Caenorhabditis elegans: one gene and its partners. The protein of the gene in region 1 interacts with the protein of each later gene in a pairwise test. Each region holds a gene or a part of one and is shown on either strand. Other genes may lie near its edges.

Region 1 (3,755 bases):
CACATTGGATTGCACTAATTGCCGGCGATTTTTGGTCGAATTTCACTGGAAAACTTTTTTTTTTCCAACTTTTTGCGTCAATTCTCAAAACTTTTACGTTTTCCTCCATTTTTTTTGCGTATAATTTCCGTCTAAAAACCCATAATACAAATATAATTGAGGATCATCTCTTTCCTTCCTTCTTCCACCAATTAGTCAAATAAAACACGTCTGTCGCCTAGATATGGTATTCTCCCAACCAATAAGAGCACCATCACACCACCTGACGCCACAAATTTGTATTTTGGTTATTTCTAATCAAATTTCTCAAATTTTCGGGGGTTCTTTTCTTCTTTTTGTCCTTTTTGAAAGCCGTACCGAATCACATCGCTAATCTCCTGCCGAATCTTCTTCTCCTCCTTGACGCGGTGCGCGTTTTCTCTGCAAAAATTGGGAATTTAGGTCTAAAAATTTATGAAAATTACGAAATTTGACCTTAGAAAAGTTGAAAATTGGCCCTGAAACCCTGAAATTGCCCTTACAAAAAGAAACTTCCCATGCCGGGAATCGAAACCGGGCCGCGTGGGTGAAAACCACGAATCCTAACCACTAGACCACATAGGATCCAAAAACTGAGGGCGCGAGTGCATAGACATGCCGGTGGGGGCCAGGGATTTATCGATTTATCGATTTTTTTTTCGCTTTTTTTTTCAGTTTTTTGCAAATTAAGCATCTCCTTGACCTCTCTGCTTCCGGCTGAGCACACCTGTTATGCTTCTGAAGACTCTCCTCTTGGTATAATGTCTATTGCGTCATCATAGGGCGGTTGCCGGAGCACTTGAGAGTCAAGAGGTTTTTGTTGTTGAAAGGGATTATGAGACAATGAGAAATGTATACATATCACACCTTTTTGAGGGGGTTTGTGATGCAATTAGTGGGTTTCAGTGAGAATTTTGAAACAAAAAAATCCGAAAAAAATGCTGAAAATTAATCAAAACGTGCGAAAATTTGTAACTTCTATCGGTAAATTTCCAATTTTTAAAGAAATTCTCAAGAAAAAATCAATTTATTGCTCCGGAAAAGCTGAGAGTAACCTAAAAATTGAGACAATTCAGTTAAAAAACTTCAAAAACGCGCCAATAATTAGGAGATTTTAATCGCAAAACTTGGCCAATTTCAACAATTTCAACAGGAAAAATGACCATTCTGAAGATTTTTTCAGCCAAATTCCCCAGTTTTAGCGGAAAAAATTGAGCTTGACGCCGGATTTTGCAGCTTTGAGCCAGTTTTCAAACGATTTCGTACCCTTCCTCGGCCAAATTCTCTGTATGAATATCGAATTGCCATCTTTCCACGACTTCCTTCGTCTTCACCTCGGAAATCACCATCACCAACCGTTTCAGCTGTCTTTTCGCGAGCCAATCTGCAAACTTCAGATGATTTTAACGCTGAAATTCGAATTTCCCCCGCCGCCGCAAAAAAATTACATTCAACTTGCTGCAAAAGTGGATCCATGAACGCTTGGAGCTTCTTCTCATGAGCCACCCACAGTGTGAGCCCGTACTTCTTCTCACGCTTGAAACTGTCTGATGGATAAAGCGCACGTTGATAGAGAATGCTGTTAAGGCCGAAATCTGAAATAAAAAACGATAAAATCGCGAATTTTTGCAGGGGAAAACCGTACGGAAGAACTCTTTGACGAGTTGGGCAGATCCTTTGAGGGAAATCGCGTTTTGTGTCTTTACATCCGTCATTTCTGATGAATTCCCTGCAAAATAACGATAAAAACTGATTAAAAATCGAAGAAAAATGACCGAAAACGCGCCGCAAACAGTTTAAGATTCGAATTCTCCCGCCGAAACAATTGCACGAGAAACGCGCCAATAAACATCACGAAACGCGCCAGCAAGCGTCCAAGGCACATATCGATTTTTCTCGCGACTCGGAAAAGAAATTAATTAAAAATCTCGAAAATCATCGATTTTCATTGTTTCTTTCAGTTTTTTCATTGATTTTTTGGTAAAATAATTGATAAATAAGTTTTTTTTTTCAGAAATGAACCGCTTGATGGTTATTTCGGCTCGTCGGATGGCGTCGGCGGCTCCAAAAACGAGCACCGGAATCGAGCACGCAGAGAAGGCCAGACAGGTCGCTGGTATGGCTTTCTGAAACTCTAAACTAGATAATAATCCGTCATAATATTGTATTGAAAAAGTTTAAGCCAAAAAATTCCTTAAAAATAGCTGAAAAAGTTGAATTTTTGCGGAAATGGCACGAAAATTCGATGTTTCCCGTAAAATCACTGAAATATTTGATTTTTTGCATTAGAACTTGTGAATAGCTAAATTTTTAGTTACAATTTCATTGAAAAAAGCTAGTTTCTGCAAAAAATGTCGATTTTTCGCCATTTTTCTTGTTAAAATCGATTTTAGCCGAAAATATTCTGATTAAACATTAAAAATGAGCAGAATATCGATTTTTGTCAGAAAAAAAAACTATGAAAAGTCTAATTTTCTGGAAAAATGTGCATTTTTCTAGAAAAAAAATCGAATTTCAGACAAGTTTTTCCCAATTTCCATCCAATTTCCACGCAAAATCTCTCAATTTTCAGGCGGAAAACCCGATTGGTCACTGTACAAATGCGACGAATACCTGAAATTCGACAAATACTCGTACGCTCACGCCGAAATCACCATGAACAAGGATCGTGTCGTTCAGCCGTCCTACAAGAAGGCCGACGTTCTTCCGAAAGTTCGAGCTTAATCTTTTTTCGACATTTTCTGTGTGAAAAATAGAGTTTTCGGTGGATTTTATCATTTTTTTTGTGTAGATTTTTCGTATAAATATGAGTTTTTACATAGATTTTTTAATTTTATTGATTTCATGGCTGTTTCCATGCTTAATTATCTAGTAACAAGTCGTTGAAAAACGAAAAAAACACAACGATGCTCCGATGTTCCGCACGTGCATGTTGTTTATCATTGCTCAAAAAATGGCGGTTTTTCGAATTTTTTTTGTGAATTTTTGCTGTTTTTCCGCCTAAAAAAATAAATTTTAACACAATAATAAGCCGAAGCACAATTTTTCTTTAATGCCTGCTCGTTCCCACGGTGATTGCCGCCACAAGGGATTACCTAGCAGCGAGTTTCCATGGTGATGGGCGTCGCTAGCTTTTGTTCAGAGAAGCAGATGTCATATTCATTGAATTTTTAATTTTTTCAATCAAAATCGCATTATTTTCGAGAGATTCGAGGGAAAAATCGAAAAAATTGCAAAATTTTGATCGAAATTGTTGATTTTCATTATTTTTCGCAATTACTTCAATGAAAAATCACTTCAAAATGACCAAAAATGGTGTTTCGATGCAAATAATAAGGGTTTTTTTTTCAGAATAAGCTAGTGAAAAAAAAAAAATCGAATTTTCACTATTTTTCTCCTCGTTTCTTTGATTCTGCCATAAATACGATTGGAGAGAGTAAAATCTGAAATTTTTCCGAAAACCAGTTAAAATTCTGTTATTTTTCAACAAAAACCGTAAAAAAAATCATTAAAAACCTCGGAAAAAAAGTAATTTTTCGCTTTTTTTAAAACAATTTTTAACGATGCTCCGAAATCCCGCATGCGCGTGCTGTTTAGCATCACAAAAATTCGCGATTTTTTGAATTGTTCGATCCTGAAATTGCATTTTTTCTCGTAAATAATTAATTTTTCATGATTTTCAGGCAATTCCATGTCTGAAGAACTACATTCCGACCTGATTGCGTCGATTTTCGGCG
Region 2 (3,755 bases), on another chromosome or scaffold:
ACGAACTTTTTTATTATTGTTTAGAAACAAAATCGAACATTTTGATAAGTTTAAAAAAACCAAGATGTTTACTAAATTCGTAATTTCACTATAAATTAATAATTCAAACTTTCTTCCAAATTTGCTCGATGACAAAGCAGTTAAGTTTTTTGGAGAGTTTCGACTGCATTTCCCCAGAAGGTGTACTTTTAAGATAAATTAGTAATAAAAATGGAATTTCAGTTCTCAGTCATTGGTTTTCCGTTTACATAGCTTTGAGAAAATAATTTACAGGTTCAAGATTTTATTCTGCATTTCAAAACATTGAAGCTCTTTTTTTTGTATAATAGACTTTTTTTTAAAACGTACTCCTTCTTGATTATTGCCCACGTGTCCTTCAATAACAACATGCTCTTCGGGCTCTTCAACCATCATTTGACCCTGAAATCCAATAAATGTTTGCAAAAGGGATATCTTATTTTTATTGTTTTATCAATTTTGAAAGTTGTAAAAAAACATATTGTAATTCATATTTAATAAAATGTAATTTAACTGAAAATTACCATATGATCATTTCGATAAATATTGTTATGACCTCCAGCCTCATTGAACTTTCCATAATACATCACATGAATCGAATCCCTCAATTTTCGATTTTCAGTCTCCAACTGACGAATTCTAGCTGAAAATGCATTTTCTCTGGCTTCCGAAATAGTCTTTTCATGTCGTTGTCGTTCGCGATAATATGTTGTCAGAGTCGAGTTCGCCTCATTTGATCTTTCCAGATCCATAATCAACATTCCAAGATATTGATGATATTCATCCTGTGAGAAGTCAGCTTCTTGTAATTCTCTTAATCTCTCAGTATCGACTTTTGCATCTTCTATTGTTTGTTTGATATTATTCTCGATTTCGATAAGAGCATGTTCGGATGCTGTCGGATTTGCACGAGCCACACTTGAAGCCAGACGAACTACTTTGACAGGTTGCAGATTTTTCTGTGATTGTTGACCTTGCTGCAGATGAGATTGTTGTTGAGTTTGCTGCTGATGTGGGCGAGCTGCGGGCATGTTCATTTTCTGAAAAGGAATATTAATAAATTTAATATCTCGACCAAAAAAATTACCTTTACACCTGGAGGAAGCCCATCAGAATTATCTCGTTTTCTTCCAGCAAAGCTGACAATTCTCGCGCCGGCTGGAGAAATTCTTGTCTGAGGTCTCTGCTGAGCTGGCATATAGACATTTTTATTTTGCAATTTCTGAACCATATCCATATTATGTGGGTAACTTTGTGGACGAGGAGCCATCGGACGGCCAACTCCTCTACGAATTGATTGAGATTGTTGTTGTGGAACTTGATAAGCAGGAGCTGATTGACGGTTATCATAGTGATGATGATGCATTGGATTACCACGAAGTTGTGGATGATGATGGTGATCAACAACCATTTCAGTCGAACCGTCGTCTACAATTTCTTCATGGGCAACTTGTTGTTCATCCCCTGGAAAATTTGAATTTAATATACCTCATGCAAAAAGTCGAAAAGCTGTGTTTGCAAAGGTGGTAAATAAAACTCGTAAATATTACCTGGATCACCTCCATCGATAACTAATTCGGCCTGCTCTAAAACATTCATATTCGATGGATTCATAGTCTGGTGACTGCTTCCTGCTCCGGAAGAAGATGATGTCACTGGCGGTGAGTTCGGGCGAAAGTATCGCTGTCGCCGAGACGGAATCATACAGAGAGAAAACCTATAAAAATTCGAGACATGACTTAACACGCCAAGTCGGATAAATGAGGGCTGAGAGGAGAAAAATGAGTGTAAATAAAAATGAAAAACTCCTAATCGTTTTTAAAACTTTAAAACTAAAACATTAAAACAATTGTAAACAAACGCGTTAATCGTCAGTTTTTACCGATCGTAGAAGACAACTTTAAAATGAACATTTCTGTAGTAATACCATCGAACACTATCGAAAGAACAAAATAATGCATTTCCTAATACTTATGAAAGCTATTTCAATGAAACTAGTGGGACTATTCAATAACCTTCTACCGTTATTCGTTTCATAGCATATTCTGAGTGTTATGATTTTTCTTTGAGTTTAAATTACGTTAGGATGATTCGAAATGAAGTGCATCATGAACAACATCCAAAATTAGCATTTTAACGAAAGAAACTTCGAAGGAAAACGGGTAATTATTTAAGTTAAGGTTAAAATTCAAAAATCGTCATTGAAACTGTTTTTTGCTAAACAGCACGCGTCTGCGTTATTTCGGAGTGTCGTTGCGAGATTCAGGCCTCACCCCGCAGGCCTAAAGGCACATCTTTGCACAGCCTTATGCCGAATTTGGCGTTAAATTTAAAGAATTTTCTTCTTTCTTTAGATTATAAATGATTTTTTAAAATACAAATACAAATATTTACATTCGATAGCCGTTGGTTTTATTGTTATTTTTATTATTGAAACCGCTATTCACACTATTTCTGATTCTACATTATCTTCTAATCGATATCAACAATAATTCTTCTGGTTTAACTGAATTCTCGCGCGTTCTCTCATTTCCCTTCCGCTTTTATATACTTTTCTTTGAAAACTAGAACAAAGCACACTGTTATCAATTATTCTTATCAGCTGCACCCTCCGGACCGCCCCGTTGCCAACTTTTTCGTGCATAACTTTTATTTTAGTTTTTTTTCCAGAAAACAAAATGAACGAAGCAATACTGAAATTGGTGTTAATGTTTGTAATGTTTTCGCTCACAGTTATCGTTGGATTATCGCCATTAAAAGTGAGAAATTATTGAGATTTGTGTATTAATATTTCACTAATGTTTTTCAGGTACTTCACAAATTACGGCATGAAGCAGCGACAGCTCAGAGCTCATCAAAACACAAACACGTTTCCCTTGTTCTCTGCCTTTTGACATGCTTTTCTGGAGGTTCGGAAATGTTTTAAAATATTTTATTAGTTTTATAATTTTTCAGGAGTCTTTCTTGCCACGTGTTTCCTTCATCTTTTCCCAGAACTTCGTGAAAATCTTGAAACCCTCGATACAGTTCATAATTTTCGTATCGATTATCCAGTCGGAGAACTTTTATCTTGTCTCGGATTCTTTCTTATCTTCTTTCTCGAAGAAGTCGTTATTATGATAATTCCATCATTTGCTCATGGACATGGACATGGTCACGGACATGATCATCATCATCATGAAACTACACCTCCATTGGCTTCAAAAAGTGTCGAAGCTTCTGGCGCTGGAGGATGTTGTATGGCTGATACTGTTGATGAAATTAAGAAAAAAGAAGACGACCTTGTTGGTGAGTTTTTAAAATTGAAATGCTGTAAAACATACGCGAATTTCTGGGTCAAAAATACACCTCATCTCGAAAAGTTTAATTTTTAGCTTCTTTTTGTTTTTTCTATCAAAATTATAATTGAAACGTGAAATTTTGCGATTTCTGCGCCAAAAATACGGTACCAATCTCGACACGACAATATTTATTTAAATGCAAAAATTTGTGTGCCTTCAAAGATTACTGTAATTTCAAATTCTCGGTGCTTCAGCATTCTGCGGAATTTTTTATCGATTTTTATAGTTTTTTTAACGGTTTGTTGTAGATAATGTAGTTTTTCAAACCTAAAGTATTCTTTTGATCGAAAAACTTTGAAAAATAGAGATAACACTCCGCAACAACGAAAATTTGAAATTACAGTACTTTTTAAAGACGCACACCTTTCTTCATTCAGCAAAAATTGTCGTGTCGAG
Region 3 (3,755 bases), on another chromosome or scaffold:
TTTTTTTCCATTTTTGTGGGCTCCCAATTCGTTATGAACAGTGAGCTGGTTTTTCATCGCAGGCTTCTTTTTCCAGCAGTTACGAAGCAGACGTTCTGTGTTCAATACTTGACCATTCTCCCCCCGCCAGAAATGATCGATAAGAGGTGGTCCTCGGAGACCCGCGCGCGTGCGCATAGGTCACCTGATCACGTGGTGAAGGGCAACTGCCATTGTTTCAACGCCGGAATATTTTTTGAACCTTTATTGATTATCTCAAGTTTCTTATCAAATTTTCGAAAATTTGCCTTTCTTTTGTGTAAGGGGAAAATGGAAAAATTACGATTTTTGTTTCCATCGGAAACAAACAAAATGTGTTTTGTGGTGTGACCAAACGTCATTTTGTGTTGTTTTCTTGAAGTTTCTAGACGCGAAAAATAGAAAAATAATTAAAACTTTCTATAAAATTACCAACTTTCAGATTTCGGAAGGATTTTATTAAAAAAATTGGCAACATTTTTGATTTTCAATGAAATTTTTTTAAGGTGGAGTGCGCCCAGTGGGAAAATTGCTTCACAATGGCCGAATATCATGATTAAAAAATTCAAAAAAAATTTCTAAATTTTATATGATTTTTTGAAAATTGAAAAATCTCAGTTTTCCCCTAATTTCTATTTGAATTACCGCCAATTGGGTTCGTTCGATGGAGCGCGCTTGCACTATTTATTTTATTTTTCTCATTATTTCACTGATTTTCTTCATTATTTGTGTATTTTTATCGGAAAAAGAGAGAAAAATGCAAGGTAAATGCTTATAAGATTTATTAAAAAGTAACTGAAAATGAGTAAAACTGTGGAATATGCTATTTTCAGGATTTTTGGCGTCGAAACACAGTTTTACCCATTTTCAGTAATTTTTTAATGACCAATTTGCATTTTTCTCTATTTTTCCGATTAAAAACCCCCAAAAAACGAATAAAATCAGTGAAATAATGAGAAAAATAAAATAAATAAATAAAAATAATGCAAGTGCGCTCCATCGAACAATTTCAATTGGCGGTAATTCAAATAGGAATTAGGCAAAAACTGAGATTTTTCAATTTTCAAAAAAAAATCATATAAAATCTAGAAAATTTTTTGAATTTTTTTATCGTGATATTCGGTCATTGTGACCCTATGGGCATGTTTTAAAGCAATTTCCCCACTAGGCTTACTGAGTAGAAAAATCCCGGAAGTGCAATTTTTGAATTTTTTGTGAGAAACTCCTCCACAATTCGTCATTGAAAATGAAAAAACTCGACTAAATATTTTTTCCATGACAGGCGGTCTGCTCCGGGTTCGACGTCCTTTTCGAACTGATAACGTCACAATTTTTTTCTTTTTTTTTCCGCATTTTTTCATTCCGATTGCTATTTAATCGGGTGATGTCGGGGTCACTCTTCAATGTCCGTTGACTACATTGTTTTAATTTATTTTTAATTGACTCCAAATTTTCCCCTGATTTCGAATATCTATGTGAAAAAATTCAAAAAAATTTCCCTGATTTTATATTTAAGCTTGAAATCGCTTGTACTAGCATCACTTTTTTTCAAATTCGCGCCCAAAGAAATTCGCATTGGAGCGCGCTTTGATTTTCTTCATTTAAATATTTTATTTATTTTTCGCCGAATGCAGTTTTTTGAAAACCAGTTTCATTCATTTTTGTCGAGCTTTTATCGATTTTTTTCGACAAAAATGAATAAAACTGGTTTAAACTGAATTCGGCGGAAAATAAATAAAATATTTAAATGAAGAAAATCAAAGCGCGCTCCAATGCGAATTTGTTTGGGCGCGAATTTTAAAAAAAGTGATGCGGGGGACAAATGAAATTCTACGATTTCAAGCTAAAATATAATATCAGGGAATTTTTTTTGAATTTTTTCACATAGATATTCGGAATTAGGGGAAAATTTGGAGTAATATAAAAAATATTTCACAGATTTCGGTACTCAACCTTTAAAATTTTAAGTGAGAAAATATTATTAACGTGATTTTAAATTTTTTTTTCTTCTGCAACAATTTGAACTTTGATCTTAAATTAAAAAAAAAAATTATTTTTAAAATTTCAGTTCAAAAATGAGCGGATTAGCACCAGATGGACTGCCCAAAGGAAATCGAGTTTGGGCTGATGGATGGTTGGTTTTTGGCTGGAATCGACACGTGGTGTCAAAGTGTCTCTTTTCGGTTTGATCTACAAAAAATGTGGGATTTTTTTTCCAAAAAAATGTGACGTCAGCACGTTCTTAACCAATTTTTGTTGAAAAGTCTGCGTCTCTTTTCCCGCATTTTTTGTAGATCTCTACGTAGATCACGCCGAAATGAGACACTTTGACACCATGTGAATTGAGCCTTAAAATGAATTAATTTTCCAGTTATGACATGGTGCATTTCGGCCATGCAAATCAATTACGGCAGGCTAAGCAGTTTGGACAGAAGTTAATTGTTGGAGTACATAATGATGAAGAGGTTTTCAATATTTTTTTCTCCCTAAAAAGAAGATGGGAATATGCAAATTTTTGTTAAAATATTAGCAGTTTTTAAGTCGTAACTCGTAAATTGCGAAATTTTTCCCTATAACACACTTGATCTACGCTGATCTACAAAAAATGCGGCAGAGTTCTTAACTCATTTCGTATGGTTAAGAACGTGCTGACGTCACATTTTAATGGGAGAAAAATTCCCGCATTTTTTGTAGATCAAACCGTAATGGGACAGGGACCCCTGGCACCACGTGGCTATAAATTATTTTAAAAATCAACTTCTGTGAATTATTTAAATTAATTTTCACTTTAAATTACGATAGTTCAGGTAAAAAATATTGTTTAAATAATTCAATTATTCAATTTTCCTTATTAAAAGCCACGAATTAAAAAGAAATTTCGTGACTTGACAAAAATTTTAAAGGAACACGCGTGTGTGACCCTTTAAGGAGTACTGTACTTTTAGCTATTTTGCAGTTTTTTTTCATTTTTTTCGAGATCGCGTCGAGACCCGAAATAGTTGGCATCTGGTAAATATTCTGATTGAATGGATATTTTCGTTATAATTTGGGGTTGCATGGAAAAAAAAAGAATATTTTACAATATTTTTCACTAAATATATCGTAAGTTAGGGTATATTGTGGTAATCATTAAAAATTTTTAAATTTCAGATCGAAATTTAGCAAAAAAAAAACATTTTTAGTGACTAAAAAAACATATTCGTTTCTAATTTCCAATTGAAATAGAAAAAAAAACGTTAAGTAATATTTTTTTTTATTGCAATTTTTTCCGACCTTTAAAGGTGGAGTACCGAAATCTGGGAAATATTTTTAATTGACCCCAAATTTTCCCCTAATTCCGAATATCGATGTGAAAAAAATTAAAATTCAAAAAAAATTCCCACGATTTTATATTTAAGCTTGAAATCGCCGAATTTCATTTGTTTTTCCCGAATCACTTTTTTCAAATGCGCGCCCAAAGAAATTCGCATTGGAGCGCGCTTTGATTTTCTTAATTTAAATAAATATTTTATTTATTTTTCGCCGAATTCAGTTTTTTAAAACCAGTTTCATTAATTTTTGTCGAAAAAACCGATAAAAACTCGACAAAAATGAATAAAACTGGTTTTTAATAAAACTGAATTCGGCGAAAAATAAATGAAATATTTAAATGAAGAAAATCAAAGCGCGCTCCAATGCGAAGTTCTTTGGGCGCGAATTTAAAAAGTGATTCGGGGGCACAAATGAAATTCGGCGAT

Evidence for each region.
Region 2: the proteins of mdf-2 (region 1) and T19B4.5 interact in a two-hybrid assay, tested with the Caenorhabditis elegans proteins (one large-scale study listed by BioGRID).
Region 3: the proteins of mdf-2 (region 1) and pcyt-2.1 interact in a two-hybrid assay, tested with the Caenorhabditis elegans proteins (one large-scale study listed by BioGRID).

The regions. Positions count from the first base shown.
Region 1 is NC_003282.8:2,639,278-2,643,032, forward strand, and holds the start of mdf-2 (Mitotic spindle assembly checkpoint protein MAD2A), read right to left. Parts: upstream 1,748-3,755; 5' UTR 1,734-1,747; coding exon 1,664-1,733; intron 1,614-1,663; coding exon 1,467-1,613; intron 1,403-1,466; coding exon 1,285-1,402; coding exon of another isoform or gene 1,269-1,284; exon of another isoform or gene 421-1,268; coding exon 358-420; intron 1-357. Other genes in the region: nduv-3 (NADH dehydrogenase [ubiquinone] flavoprotein 3, mitochondrial), read left to right, coding at 2,035-2,134, 2,591-2,742; Chaperone ric-8, read left to right, coding at 3,710-3,755.
Region 2 is NC_003279.8:5,672,286-5,676,040, reverse strand, and holds the start of T19B4.5 (uncharacterized protein), read right to left. Parts: upstream 1,738-3,755; 5' UTR 1,633-1,737; coding exon 1,569-1,632; intron 1,483-1,568; coding exon 1,106-1,482; intron 1,059-1,105; coding exon 543-1,058; intron 421-542; coding exon 349-420; intron 1-348. Other genes in the region: zipt-2.4 (Zinc transporter ZIP3), read left to right, coding at 2,697-2,777, 2,828-2,927, 2,974-3,306.
Region 3 is NC_003279.8:2,076,875-2,080,629, forward strand, and holds the start of pcyt-2.1 (ethanolamine-phosphate cytidylyltransferase), read left to right. Parts: upstream 1-2,084; 5' UTR 2,085-2,093; coding exon 2,094-2,152; intron 2,153-2,389; coding exon 2,390-2,483; intron 2,484-3,755.